2 linked regions of the Oryctolagus cuniculus genome follow. The protein of the gene in region 1 purifies or fractionates together with the protein of each later gene. This does not show direct contact. Links are inferred from orthologs where the notes say so. Each region holds a gene or a part of one and is shown on either strand. Other genes may lie near its edges.

Region 1 (6,534 bases):
TCACTTCTCTAGTATAGTAGTTGGCATATTCTGCATCCATGAGAGGAATAAGATATCCAATAGCCTTTAAGAAAGCAGCCAAACCCTATTTCGACATAAAAAATACATAATACTTCAATTGTATCACTTTAACTTTAATGAATAGAAATCAAAAGAAAAAATCTAACTAGCATATTTACCTTTCCTCTGTGTTGGCGAATACCCTTCCACAGAGGCTTTAACACAGAGTCAAAAGATTCGATACCATAAGGAGTCGCTGCCTCAGCTAAGGCAGCAATGGCCAAAGCACTGATGGTTCGTACTTTCTGCTGCTCATCCACAAGACCTATAAAATCAATCACAGGTTTTAACTATGCATCAACATTACTTAATTTCTAAAATGTCATCCAGATTCTAGCTTGCTCTAACCATTTAGCCAAACTATAAAATCTGTTCACGTTAGACAGTATTAGGCAAAAGCCAGTAGGAACTACAGCCTGTTAGATGATATCATAAATCCCATCATAAAATAAATGGGCTTATGCAGTTATGCTCAATCAGTAGCCCAAATTTCAGGACATATGTCACATAAAAGACAGTTATATTGCAGCTTACCGTGTTCAATGATTTCAACTAAACTTCTGAGATGTGGCAAGATAGCACAGCCCATCAGAATAGCTATCTGCTGTACAATCTTAATACCAGTGTGTCTTGCTTGCCAGGACTTCTTGCTTTTACACACAGCTTTTAAGAAGGGCAATAAAGAAGGAATGCCCAGGGCAGAGGCTACAACAGCAAAAGCTCTAGCTGTTGTGTTACGGACATATTCATCCATGTTATCTATATCAGGTCTCATGGTAGAGATCATAGTAGCCAGACCAGCAGCCTAAAAAGAAAAGAAAGTATTCATGAGCACAAATACCCTCAACTCTCTCCCATAATAAGATAATCCCATCAATAAGTATAAACTTTCTTCTCTAGAAATTTAACCTAGGGGCTGTGGCTGTGGCAGTGGGTTAAAGCTCTGGCCTGCAGTGCCAGCATCCCATATGGGTGCCAGTGGAGTCCTGGCTGCTAAATATCCAATCCAGCTTCCTGATAATGCACCTGAGAAAGCAGCAGAGGGTGGCCCAATTCCTTGGGTCCCTGTACCCATGTGGGAGACCTGGAGGCACCTCCTGGCTCCGGATCGGCTCAGCTCTGGCTATTGTGGTCATTTGGGGAATGAACCAGCAGATGGATGATCTCTCTCTCTCTCTCTCTCTCTCTCTCTCTCTCTCTGTCTCTACCTCTCTGTATCTCCTTCAAATAAGTAAAATAAATCTTTAAAAAAAATTTAATGTAAATACCTTTGCCAAATTAGAAATAATCTCTCGGCCTTCCACTCTAGCATAGTAATCTTCATCAATCAATAATGGTTCAATGACCACAAGGATCTGAAAAAGAGAAATAGGAAAAGGAACTACATTTTCACATCAATTACTGATGCTACACTCATAACAGAAGTAAACAAAGCAAGCTTATAATTGACAGTATTTTTTAATCAAGGGAGAAATTAAGTGTATTATATATAATTTCAAATCTCAGATATAGATGAAACTTTAAGAACTATTACCCACATAAACTAATACTCAAAAGTTTAAAAAACCATAATTACCAACAGAAAAAAGATGGATTTTAATTCTCAAATAACACAGTTTAGAAATACATCAATTAAAAAAAAAAAAAAACTGGTTGGCTTTGAACATCTTACAAGGGAGTAAATTTTCCCTTTTTACTGTATACAATCAGCTACTTGGGGCCAGCTTTGTGGTGTAACTGGTTAGTTCACTGCCTGCAATGCTGGCATCCCGGATGGGTACTGGTTCAAGTCCCAAATGCTTTACTTCCACTGGCTCCCTGCTACTGCACCTAGGAAAGCAGCGGGAGATGGTCCAAGTACTTGGGCCTGTGCACCTACATCTGAGTCCCAGATGAAGCACCTGGCTCCTAGCTTTAGCCTGGCCCAGCCCCGGCTGTTGCGGCCACTTGGGGAGTGAACCAGCAGATGGAGTCTCTCTCTCTCTCTCACTCTATAACTTTGCTTTTAAAATAAACAAAATATGGGGGTGCAAATGTTGAAATCTTTACTTAATGCATACTAAACTGATCCTCTGTAAAAAAAAAAAAAAAAAAAAAAGAAATTATTAACTCCCAACTTGACTCTGACTGGGATTAAACATGACAATAGGTCTGATCTGATTTCATCATCATTTAAAAAAATCATCTATTATTTTTCACTTTATGTTTCTGTGTGGGAGCAAACTGTTGAAATCCTTACTTAATGTATACTAAGCTGATCTTCTGTATATTAAGATAATCGAAAATGAATCTTGATGTGAATGGAAGGGGAGAGGGAGTGGGAAAGGGGAGGGTTGTGGGTGGGAGGGACGGTATGGGGGGGAAGCCATTGTAATCCATAAGTCGTACTTTGGAAATTTATATTCATTAAATAAAAGTTAAAAAAAATAAAAATAAAAAAATAAACAAAATAAATTAAGGAAAAAAAGAAAAGAATCAGCTGCGTTTTTAGAATTTTTAAAATTTCAATACCACAGACATCATCTGGTGAAAAAAGTCAATTTTTGTGGAATTTCTTTTATATTAAAAAATCAAAATAGTAAACTATTAGAAACACTACTCCAGGAAATCACAAACCTTATGCACATATGGTCGAACGAGGTCATCAAGTTTGTACAATATTCTGTCAATAACTTTCACAAGTAAATGACGCTCCTGATCCTCAAGTGTAGGAGACATCAAGAGAGGAAGAATCTGATTAAACAAAGGACCAGCTCCAAACTCCCGGGCTTTATCAGTAATCTGACGCAATGCAGCCTGAGGGGAAAAGTAGAGAAAAAGGTGGTTTCTTTGTAACAAGCATTTTGAGTGAGCAGTTTACATCAGGAAGATTTTCTACTTTATATTGCACACTTTTACAGTTTGTATAGTGACCTAAGTTTATTTCCATTCAAGCTACTCTGGAACTTGAACTTCTGTAACAGAAAGTTAATTTAAAAAGGGTAATTTAGGGGGCCAGCGCTGTGGCGCAGCAGGTTAATGCCCTGACCTGAAGCGTCAGTATCCCATATGCATGCCGGTTCCAGACCTGGCTGCTCTACTTCCATTCCAGCTCTCTGCTAAGGCCTGGGAAAGCAGAAGATGGCCCAAGTCCTTGGGACCCTGCACCCTCATGGGAGATCCAGAAGAAACTCCTGGCTCCTGGCTTCAGATAGGCTCAGCTCCAGCCATTGTGGCCAATTGGGGAGTGAACCATTGGATGGAAGACTTTCTCTCTCTCTCTCTCTGCCTCTCCTCTCTCTTTCAAATGAATAAATAAATCTTTTATTAAAAAAAAATGGTAATTTAGTAGAAGCACAAGAATATAATATTTCACATATTTCACCAGCCTTAAAGCCTGAAACATATTACAGAGGCCTTAAGGATTTTTAAAAAAAGAATCTCATTTTTTCAACATTCCTATTAATTTAAGATTTTTGGAATAAAAACTAAAAAAAAAACATGCATTTTTTCCCCTTACACTATCCCTGGATAAAAACCAAGAAGGTAACTGTAATTATCTAAAACAAAAAAATATGAACATAATGAGCAACTGGGATTCACCTTTCTCATTGGAGGTGTTCCGTTCTTAATTTTTAAAAGCAACTTCATTATTTTTCTCTCTTTTTGCTCTTCTGGACTAAGTGTTGATTCATCAACATCAACCTATAGAAAGACAAAAAATTTTAAAGGTATGTTGAGATACCATAATTCGAACTCCCAAACCAAAAATATTAATTTCATTATGCTATTATCACTTACCAATAGTTTATCAAAGTACTGAATATCATCAGGTTTTAAAAATGGAAGATTTCCAGATGGCTGATCATTAACACTTTTCATAGTTCTATCTTCAGTTTGCATGTGGAAACCAGTCATACCACCCAATGGTGTTGGAGTTGCTGTCAGCTTTCGAGCTGGAGTTCTGATAGGAACATAACCAGCTGGAGGGGGAAGTACCTAATAAAATTAGAAAGAGTTTAGGTTTGTCCTAGCCTTATGGATTTAAGAACCACATATTGAATAACATTTGCACTTAATGTATTTTACACTTTAATAGCTAGAAAGCTTTTTACTTATTTGGAAAAAATTACTAAATCCTATCCCCTGCTTTTCTATCTTTAATTATGTCAATTTAAAATGTTTATGAAAAATGTTTCCATTTCTCATCTGCTAATTAAAACCAAGTATACCAGGAATGTGAAGGAAATGAGGCTAAAATAAGTGAAAAATTCTGACCACTTTCAAGTATTAGTCTATATAAGTATACTAGTGAATCAACCTGTCAAGTTACTAAACTACTTAGATTTTATAATTTCTAAGTGAGTGAATACAAATAAAGTGCTATAAAGCAAAGTAATATCTAATATAAGTATTCATATAGCAATAATCTTACATTATTATTATACCAAAAAGCATATTTTGGCACCAGAACAAAAGCAAATGCAAACCTATACAAGAACTAATCTTAAGAACTCTACAAAAAATAAGTTAATCGCATTAAAAATTGGAATCAAGATACTTTAAAAAAAAGTCCTGTACAATACATAAACCTTTTGCAAAACCAGTAAAAAAAAATTTTTAATGCAAGCTGAAAACAAAAGAATTTCTATTTTCTTAAAGCTGGCAGAAAGCTTTAAAAACAGCAACAAAAACAACTTCCTGAGCATGTCAATAGGCCTAGAAGTCTTCTCAAATAAGCATACACTATTATCTAAAAGTTTTAAAGCTTAAATTTTACTAAATGTATATTGATACTATCTGTAGTTAACCACTTTTTATTTACTGCTAGTTGTATATGAACCAAGATGAACCAATAATTAACCATTTTCAATAAAGTACAATTTATATGCAGTTAAGAGGCCTTTGAAATTCATGTCCAGTCCACTGATAACAGTCTACATTAAGGACTTAATCTATTTTCTATAATCACTAATAAGGACTTAATATATAATTTATATGAGTATATTAATTAATATAATTATTTAATATATAAAGTATATTGTATATTATATAATATACTATATAATATATTATATAGATGTATAGAATATACTTCTATATTCTTTAAGTTTTTTTTTTTTTTTTGACAGGCAGAGTGGACAGTGAGAGACAGAGACAGAGAGAACGGTCTTCCTTTTGCCGTTGGTTCACCCTCCAATGGCCGCCGCGGCCGGCGCGCCGCGCAGATCCGATGGCAGGAGCCAGGTACTTATCCTGGTCTCCCATGGGGTGCAGGGCCCAAGCACTTGGGCCATCCTCCACTGCACTAAATATATTTCTATATTCTCATAGAGACTTCATAGGTGAAAAACAAAACACACAAAAAAAGCAAGTCACTAGCAGAAGACTCTCTAAAAGTATTAAAATGACAGGTTCTGGCCTTGATCACTGTGAGTGATCTCTTTCGACTGCCTGCCTAGCCTATGCAGTTAGCCTGACTACTGGCAGGCAGCGGGAGCCTCAGGCACATTTCCCCCAACTCATGCCTTCTGCCAATCAGGTAAACTGCTCCTGGGTGTGGCCAGGCCCACCTGGAAGGTTATCCTTCAAACTGATTGGAGAGGCATAATGGCACCCAGTGTTGGTTCTGTTCTATAGTTACTGTTTGCCCTTAATTAGTTATGCCCCTTCTGCCTGCCCTTTAAAAGTGTACACAGTCATTAATACAGACAGACATGTTCACTGAAGCCTGTCCCCAGTGCTTACTGGGGAAGAACATCGTTGCTCCACTCTCCCCAATGGTACGGGTCTCACAAGATGAGTCCACAGATTATAACACTAGGCTATCTAACCAGACTACTTTTAAACCAGTAAACAGGCTAAGTACCAGGTACCTAGAAAATGTTATAGTTCAAAATAAACTTAAGCTATGCTGGTAAAGAGAATATTCTTTGGCCGGCGCCGCGGCTCACTAGGCTAATCCTCCGCCTAGCGGCGCCGGCACACCGGGTTCTAGTCCCGGTCGGGGCGCTGGATTCTGTCCTGGTTACCCCTCTTCCAGGCCAGCCCTCTGCTGTGGCCAGGGAGTGCAGTGGAGGATGGCCCAAGTCCTTGGGCCCTGCACCCCATGGGAGACCAGGAAAAGCACCTGGCTCCTGGCTCCTGCCATCGGATCAGTGCGGTGCGCCGGCCACAGCGCGCCGGCCGCGGCGGCCATTGGAGGGTGAACCAACGGCAAAAGGAAGACCTTTCTCTCTGTCTCTCTCTCTCACTGTCCACTCTGCCTGTCAAAAAATAAAAAAAAAAAAAAAAAAATTAAAAAAAAAAAAAAAGAATATTCTTTGTGCCCATTAGCAATTTATGAACTTTATTACATATAATCTTGTTGAGGCTCCAACAAGTTACAATCTAATGTGAGCTTAATCCTGAGACTGTTCGTAATGAAGCAGCAAACTATCTATATAATCCATAAAAGCCCTTGAGGTTTCTCACTTTCAAAAAAAGTATTAACTT
Region 2 (7,277 bases), on another chromosome or scaffold:
AGATGAAAACTCATTGCAATGGAGAAAATGCACCCTGACAATGGAGCAACACTTTAACCACACTCAGCATCACTAAGAGTGTACAGACTTCATAATGTATGCAACAAGACGTTCACAACATTTGCACTGTAGGACTTGGTCACGAAAAGTGTAACCTTAAGCTATTCATGAGAGGATAGCCTGATGGACAATGCAGGACATTCCACAAGAAAACTAGCTTGAGCTTTTCAAAACAATCAATTCCATTTGGGGGAAGGTTAATGATAGGTTTTATGTGATATCGCTGAATCACTGTGCATTTATTTAGGTACAAGCTTGATATTGTGGGTCTATGAGAGAACATTCTCATTCTTTAGGAGATGCAGGCTGAAGGATTCAGGTATGAGGTGCTGTGACATCTGCACCTGCTATGAAGAGTTCAGAAAATAAATTCCCTATGTATTTATCTCTCCATATAAACAGAGAGGGAGTAAAGCCAGATGTTAACAACTGGCAAATCTAAAGGATTAATGGATATTAATGGATATTTATGATACAATTTTTTTAAATTTTGCCCACTAAGACACTTTAAGAAAAATATAGCTAAATGATTTCTTTTTTTTTTTTTTGGTAACACTGAGACTAGTCCCATTTTTTTTAAAGATTTATTTCTTTATTTGAAAACAGAGTTACAGAGATGCAGAGGCAGAGAGAGAGAAAGAGAGAGAGAGAGATCCATCTTCCATCCACTGGTTCACTCCCCAAATAATCGCAACGGCTGGAGCTGCACCAATCCAAAGCCAGGAGCCAGGAGCTTCCCCCGGATCTCCCACGTGGGAGCAGGAACCCAAGGACTTGGGCCATCTTCTACTGCTTTTCCAGGCCATACCAGAGAGTTGGATCAGAAGTGGAATAGATTGGCCGGCGCCACGGCTCAATAGGCTAATCCTCCACCTAGTGGCGCCAGCACACCGGGTTCTAGTCCCGGTCGGGGCGCCGGATTCTGTCCCGGTTGCCCCTCTTCCAGGCCAGCTCTCTGCTGTGGCCCGGGAGGGCAGTGGAGGATGGCCCAAGTGCTTGGGCCCTGCACCCCATGGGAGACCAGGAGAAGCACCTGGCTCCTGCCATCGGATCAGCGTGGTGCGCCGGCCACAGCACGCCAGCTGTGGCGGCCATTGGAGGTGAACCAACGGCGAAAAGGAAGACCTTTCTCTCTGTCTCTCTCTCTCACTATCCACTCTGCCTGTCAAAAAAAAAAAAAAAAAAAAAGAAGTAGAGTAGACAGTTCTCAATCCGGCGCCCATATGGACTGTCAGCACTGCAGGCAGTGGCTTTATCCACTATGCCACAGCACTGGCCCCCATTAAATGATTTTTAATACAATAAAAATTAATATCATTCCCTATTCAAAACTTAAATTTGAGGAAACAGTGAAAGTGGAGGAAAAATGGATCAGATCTGAAGTGACCTTAAGGGAATGTAACAGGGGCTGGTATTGTGGTGCAGCGAGTTAAGCTACAACACATTCCATATGAGCACCAGTTCAAGTCCCTGCTGCTCCACTTCTCATCCAGCTCCTGCTAATGGACCTGGGAAAGCAGCAGAAGATGGCTCAAGTATTTAGGCCCCTATCACCCACATGGGAGATCCAGATTGAGTTCAGGGCTCCTAACTTTGGCCTGGCCCTGCTCCAGCCATTGTGTGTTGTAGATATTTAGGGAGTAAACTAGTGGATGTAAGATTCTCTCTGTCACTCTGCCTTTCAAATGACAAAAATAAATAAAAAGAGGGACCGGTGTTGTGGTGTAGTGGGTAAAGCCACCACTTGTAGTGCTGGCATCCCTTACGGACACCAGTTAGAGTCCTGGCTGCTCCACTTCTGATCCAGCTCTCTGCTGTGGCCTGGGAAAGCAGTGGAAGATGGCTCAAGTGCTTGGGTCCCTGCACCCAAGCGGAAGACCCAGAAGAAGTTCCTGGCTCCTGGCTTCGTATTGGCCCAGCTCCACCCGTTGAGGCCATTTGGGGAGTGAACCAGCGGATGGAAGACCTCTCTCTCTCTCTCTCTCTGCCTCTACGTCTCTGTAACTCTGCCTTTCAAATAAATAAATAAATCTTTAAAAATAAATAAATAAAAATAAAATCTTAAAAATTGTCTAGGCTAATATAATTAGCATATTTGAATAATCTGGATGGCAACCATTATAAAGCACTACTGCTGTGTGATTTCGGTGACCCCAGCTGCATTTACAACTATTATATAATCTTTTAACTAAATCATAATTTTATTGTATTAAACAGGCAGGTATAATACATAAATGTTAGGTTCTGCCATGTGAAGGCCAAATGACATCATGTTCAGCTGTACAACTGAAGATTCTGCTACAGTTTAATTGAAACAAAACAATAGGCCAACCATCATAGAAGCATTCCAAATTCTCATCAGCATCATATGCATGCTGTAGGGAGCATCTTTCACGTCATCCTAGCATTACATTAATGCATATTTTAATTCTAAGATGTGTAATTTCATTTGGTTTTATAATTTTTAAGTAAATGTATTATTGTATAATCTATTAAATTTCACTAGTTTTATGCTTATAAACACTTAAATAATATAGTAGTTTGAGACCAATATAAGGTTTCTTATTTTACTCAACTGTGAGTAAAAGTTGCAAAATGTCTAACTAAATCGCTGGACTCCTGCTGACTTAACCAAAAAAGAAAAAAGTTTCTTTCACTGACTACTTCCTATGTGCAAGGTTTGTCCTAGCTACTGTAATTCATGCTGACTGCCCCTGTAACATTACTTTATAAACACTGAAGCAGCATCAGTAAGTGTTAACTCTTTGTGACTTTCCCCCTCCGTAATTCGTTAACATTGTTTCTGACACAGCTAACACAGCTGGGAGGCAGGAGCCACAGCCTGACTTCCTTTTGAAAGTGCGTTATGAAGTTAGGGCAGGAGGAAAAGAAGCAAACAGGATAAAGAGTTCACTACCTGAGTCTCTCAATCGCGCGAGTTCCTGCCGCCGTTTCTTTCGTTTCTCCTTTTTCAGAGCTGCCCTGTACTTTTTGTGGCTGGAAGATTGAGATTCACCATCACACACAGCATCAGCGTCAGCGGCCCCAACTGCAGCGCTGCCCGAGTTCGCTCTCTTCTAGGACCAGTTACAGCAAATCGCTCGGGAGAGAAGTCTTGTTCCCCGTTAACTGCAGAACACGGAGCTCCCATGGCTCTGTCCTTCCACGCCCATACTCCAGCTCTTCTCCAACCCGCCACCTGTTCCCCTCCTCAACTCACTGAGCCCACGGACGCCCATGACAGTTCAGCGCGAGCCCCAGAAAGGTTTCGAACTGCTGCGCTGGCTCCCTCGCTTAGCCCAGCTCCTTTCCTTCCTGTGAGTATATTCTCCGTGCCCAGGTTCGGCCCGCTGCATCCCCCTATTTTGCCAACTCACCTCCCTCGGCAGAGCTTACCTACGTTTCTCGGAAAACATCACACTCTCCGGCGCCGCCATCTTTGCCAATGCTGCTCCGCCTTCCCCCTCCCCCCAAGACCTGGCCGGAAAAGGCGTGCTTAAGAGCAGCGGGGGCGCGCGCAGGCGCACAAGGAACAAAGCCTCGGCTCGCGCGGACCCGAGACTCAGGGCATGGGGTTCCTTTCTGTGGCTCGTCTGCCAAAACCCTGTCCAGATAAAGACGTCCTTCCGGAAAAAGTGCTCCGGAGTTCTTTCCCGGCCCTGGAAATTATTCGCTCACAGAGCTTCCCCATTGCTTTCTCACTGTCTCCCTCTGCGCCATGGTGCAATGTCTTGGGCCTCTCCATCTTTCTCATCATCCGTTCCCGAAGCCGCATTCCGCCCAGAGCTGCTCGCGTCGCTTCCCATTGGACTGCCTTCAGGCTCCACCTCCCATCGTGGCTTCACCTATCACTGCCTTACACAAATCCATTCACAACTACTGGCGCCCTAAGTGAACCTAACTCCTGGGGATGCGGAGGTGTAACTTCTGTCCCTAAGGAGTTCACTGTGGGGGCACAGAATAGGACCAGTACACAAATAATATAACATGGTGCAGGCAAAGATGAAGTGTAGTCCACTTGGGGATTCAGGCAATTTATGATGCTCCAGTTTTGAAGGAAGATAGCCTTTAACAAGGTGAAGAAGGGTGGCCATGGGGTTGCAAGCAGATCAGACTAAGTAAGCAAAGGGACTGATAATATTCTGAGAACAGCAAGATATTTTTTTTCAAACAGGCTTAATTTACTGTTTTTCTTGTGTAGCCACAGCTAGAGCCTGGGTCCTCGCACAGACGCTCTGGTGTGGTTCTTTACAAGAGTCAGTGAATTCTTGGTAGTGAGGCTTGGTGAACACTGCACAGCTCAGGGGTCAGATAACTCTAGGTCTTGGAAATGGCATCAAAGGTTGCCGAAGCCCCTTGCTGAGGTGTAGCAGTCATCAATACGAACAGAAGGAATTTTGACAATCCAATATAAACTGCAAATCCAGAGTATCAAGGAATAATGCCGTAGAGATAGTCTGGGGCTAGGAATGATATGCCATATTAAGGCACTTAGATTTGTTCTGTGTAATGGGGGACTCTTGAACGCTTTTAGGTAGTGGCCTGTTGTGACCCCTTTTGTGGTTTAGGTAAATTGTTGTGGTTTGTAGTTTAAAGGATTAAAAGATAAAGCTGCAATACAGTATCACAATAATCTACGTACAAAGTGATGAGGAATTACACTATGACAATGAAAGTGAGGATTGAGAAGGTGAAAACTAGCTCTACTAATATTTGGACTGTGATGTTCACATACAAGGCCCATGTATAAGGCCAAGAAAAAATGTTTCTCTCAAGTACACATTACAGCAGCAAAGTAACTTCTCCCATTTTTTTTGAGTGACTGAATAATGTCCCTGACTTAGCTTTGTTCCTGTCTCCTTCAAATTAAAATTGCTGAGATACCTAATTACTAAATTGCCTGTTTCCCCCCAGCCCCTCCTTAGAATCACCCATCTGATGTGCAAATCTGGCATAATTCCTGCCCTACTGCCTCCTACTGAGACATTTAGAATAACACCTGTTCCCCTTCTTCAAGTTGACCTTGTCCAGCTCAGTGTGTCAGTAATTGGAGACAAGCTTTGGAATATAATCGATTGGGAATTGGCTATGTAGGATCTTAAATATATTCCTTACATCTACTCCTAAATTTTCTCATCTGTAAAAATCAAGATAGTAAGAAGTTCCCATCTTTTTTTTTAAGATTTATTTATTTATTTGAAAGGCAGAGTTACAGAGAGGCAGAGGCAGAGACAGAGAGAAGTCTTCCATCTGCTGGTTCACTCCCCAGATGGCTGCAACGGCCAGAGCTGTGCCGATCCGAAGCCAGGAGCCAGGAACTTCTTCTGGGTCTCCCACTTGAGTTCAGGGGCCCAAGGACTTGGGCCATATTCTACTGTTTCCCAGGCCATAGCAGAGAGCTGGATCAGAAATGGAGCAGCTGGGACGCTAACTGGTGCCCATATGCAATGTCAGCACTGCAGGCAACAGCTTTACCTGCTATACCACAGCACTGGCCCCATCCCCAAATTTATACATAGAAATCCAACCCTATCTTTTTTTGCTACTAAATTTTTACTTAATTGTGGTAAAATTTTCATCTTTACCATTCTTTGAAATCTACCATCTTAGCAGTTTTAAGTGTAGTGTTAAATATAATCACATTCGCCGGCGCCGCGGCTCGCTAGGCTAATCCTCCACCTGGCGGCGCCGGCACACCGGGTTCTAGTCCCGGTCGGGGCGCCGGATTCTGTCCCGGTTGCCCCTCTTCCAGGCCAGCTCTCTGCTGTGGCCAGGGAGTGCAGTGGAGGATGGCCCAAGTGCTTGGGCCCTGCACCCCATGGGAGACCAGGAGAAGCACCTGGCTCCTGCCATCGGATCGGTAAGGTGCGCTGGTTGCAGCACGCCGGCCGCGGCGGCCATTGGAGGGTGAACCAGCGGCAAAGGAAGACCTTTCTCTCTGTCTCTCTCTCTCACTGTCCACTCCTGCCTGTCAAAAAATATATATATAATCACATTCAACAGATCTCTAGAACTTTTTCATTATACAGTACTGAAACTCTGTATCTACTAACAAAAATTCACTCATAGACATCATAGGAGTGGAATCCTACAGTTTGTATCCTTCTGTGACTGGCTTATTTCACTTGGTACACTGTCTTCAAGGTTCATCCACGTTGTACCTTTTACAGGATTTCCTTTTTAAAGGCTAAATAATATTCTTCTGTGTGTGTATGTGTGTGTGTGTGTACACATTTTCTTTTTTTAAGATTTGTTTATTTTATTTGAAAGTCAGAGTTACACAGAGAGAGAAGGAGAGGCAGAAAGAGAGAGAGAGAGGTCTTCCATTTGCTGGGTCACTCCCCAGATGGCTGCAATGGCTGGAGCTGTACCAATCCAAAGCCAGGAGCCAGCAGCTTCCTCCGGGTCTCCCACGCGGGTGCAGGGGCCCAAGGACTTGGGCCATCTTCCATTGCTTTTCCCAGGCCATAGCAGAGAGCTGGATTGGAAGTGAAGCAGCCGGGTCTCAAACCAAACCGGTGCCCATATGGGATGCCAGCGCTTCAGGCGGCAGCTTTACCTGCTACACCACAGCACCGGCCCCCACATTTTCTTTATCCTTTTATCTGCTGACATGACATCTGGGCTGCTTCCACCTCTTGACTATTATAAATAATGCTGCTATGAACATCAGCATGCAAGTATCTCTTTAAGTTCCTGCTTTGAATTCTTTTGGATATATACCCAGAAGTGAGATCGCTGAATCAAATACTTTTTTGCAAAATGGAATAAATTTTGTATTCCATAATGGCCACACAATTTTACATTCACACCCTGCAGTGCACAAGGGTTCTAATTTCTTCACATCTTGCCAACACTTATTAATTTTTGTTCTGACTGTGGCCATCATGAGGGCTGCGATATGATATCTCATTGTGGTTTTGATTTACATTTCCATAATAATTAGTAATGCTGAGCATCTTTTCATGTGATTATTTGCCCCTTGTACATCTTCTTTGGAGAAATGTCTGTTCAGCTCCTTTGTCCATTTTTAAAATCAGGTTATTTGCTTTTTTCCTCTTGAGTTATGGAAGTTCCTTATATATTCTGAATATCTATCCTTTATCATATATATGATTTGTAATTATCTTCTCTATTCTATAAATGATTTTTTTACTTTATAGATTGCCTTCTTTGACAAGCAGAAAAATTTTAAGGTATTCTACTTTTTTTAAGTT

The links.
Region 2: the proteins of SF3B1 (region 1) and ZRSR2 purify together in Homo sapiens (affinity purification with mass spectrometry; 3 studies listed by BioGRID and IntAct, counting the BioPlex papers as one, with this or other methods). This does not show direct contact. The link is inferred for Oryctolagus cuniculus from reciprocal best matches to the Homo sapiens genes SF3B1 and ZRSR2.

What each region holds. Positions count from the first base shown.
Region 1 is NC_091434.1:42,848,115-42,854,648, reverse strand, and holds part of SF3B1 (splicing factor 3B subunit 1), read right to left. Parts: intron 4,039-6,534; coding exon 3,841-4,038; intron 3,745-3,840; coding exon 3,643-3,744; intron 2,857-3,642; coding exon 2,677-2,856; intron 1,416-2,676; coding exon 1,329-1,415; intron 866-1,328; coding exon 595-865; intron 326-594; coding exon 180-325; intron 86-179; coding exon 1-85. UniProt on the Homo sapiens protein: Component of the 17S U2 SnRNP complex of the spliceosome, a large ribonucleoprotein complex that removes introns from transcribed pre-mRNAs.
Region 2 is NC_091453.1:1,926,526-1,933,802, reverse strand, and holds the start of ZRSR2 (U2 small nuclear ribonucleoprotein auxiliary factor 35 kDa subunit-related protein 2), read right to left. Parts: upstream 3,845-7,277; 5' UTR 3,498-3,844; coding exon 3,457-3,497; intron 3,058-3,456; coding exon 2,978-3,057; intron 1-2,977. UniProt on the Homo sapiens protein: Pre-mRNA-binding protein required for splicing of both U2- and U12-type introns. Selectively interacts with the 3'-splice site of U2- and U12-type pre-mRNAs and promotes different steps in U2 and U12 intron splicing.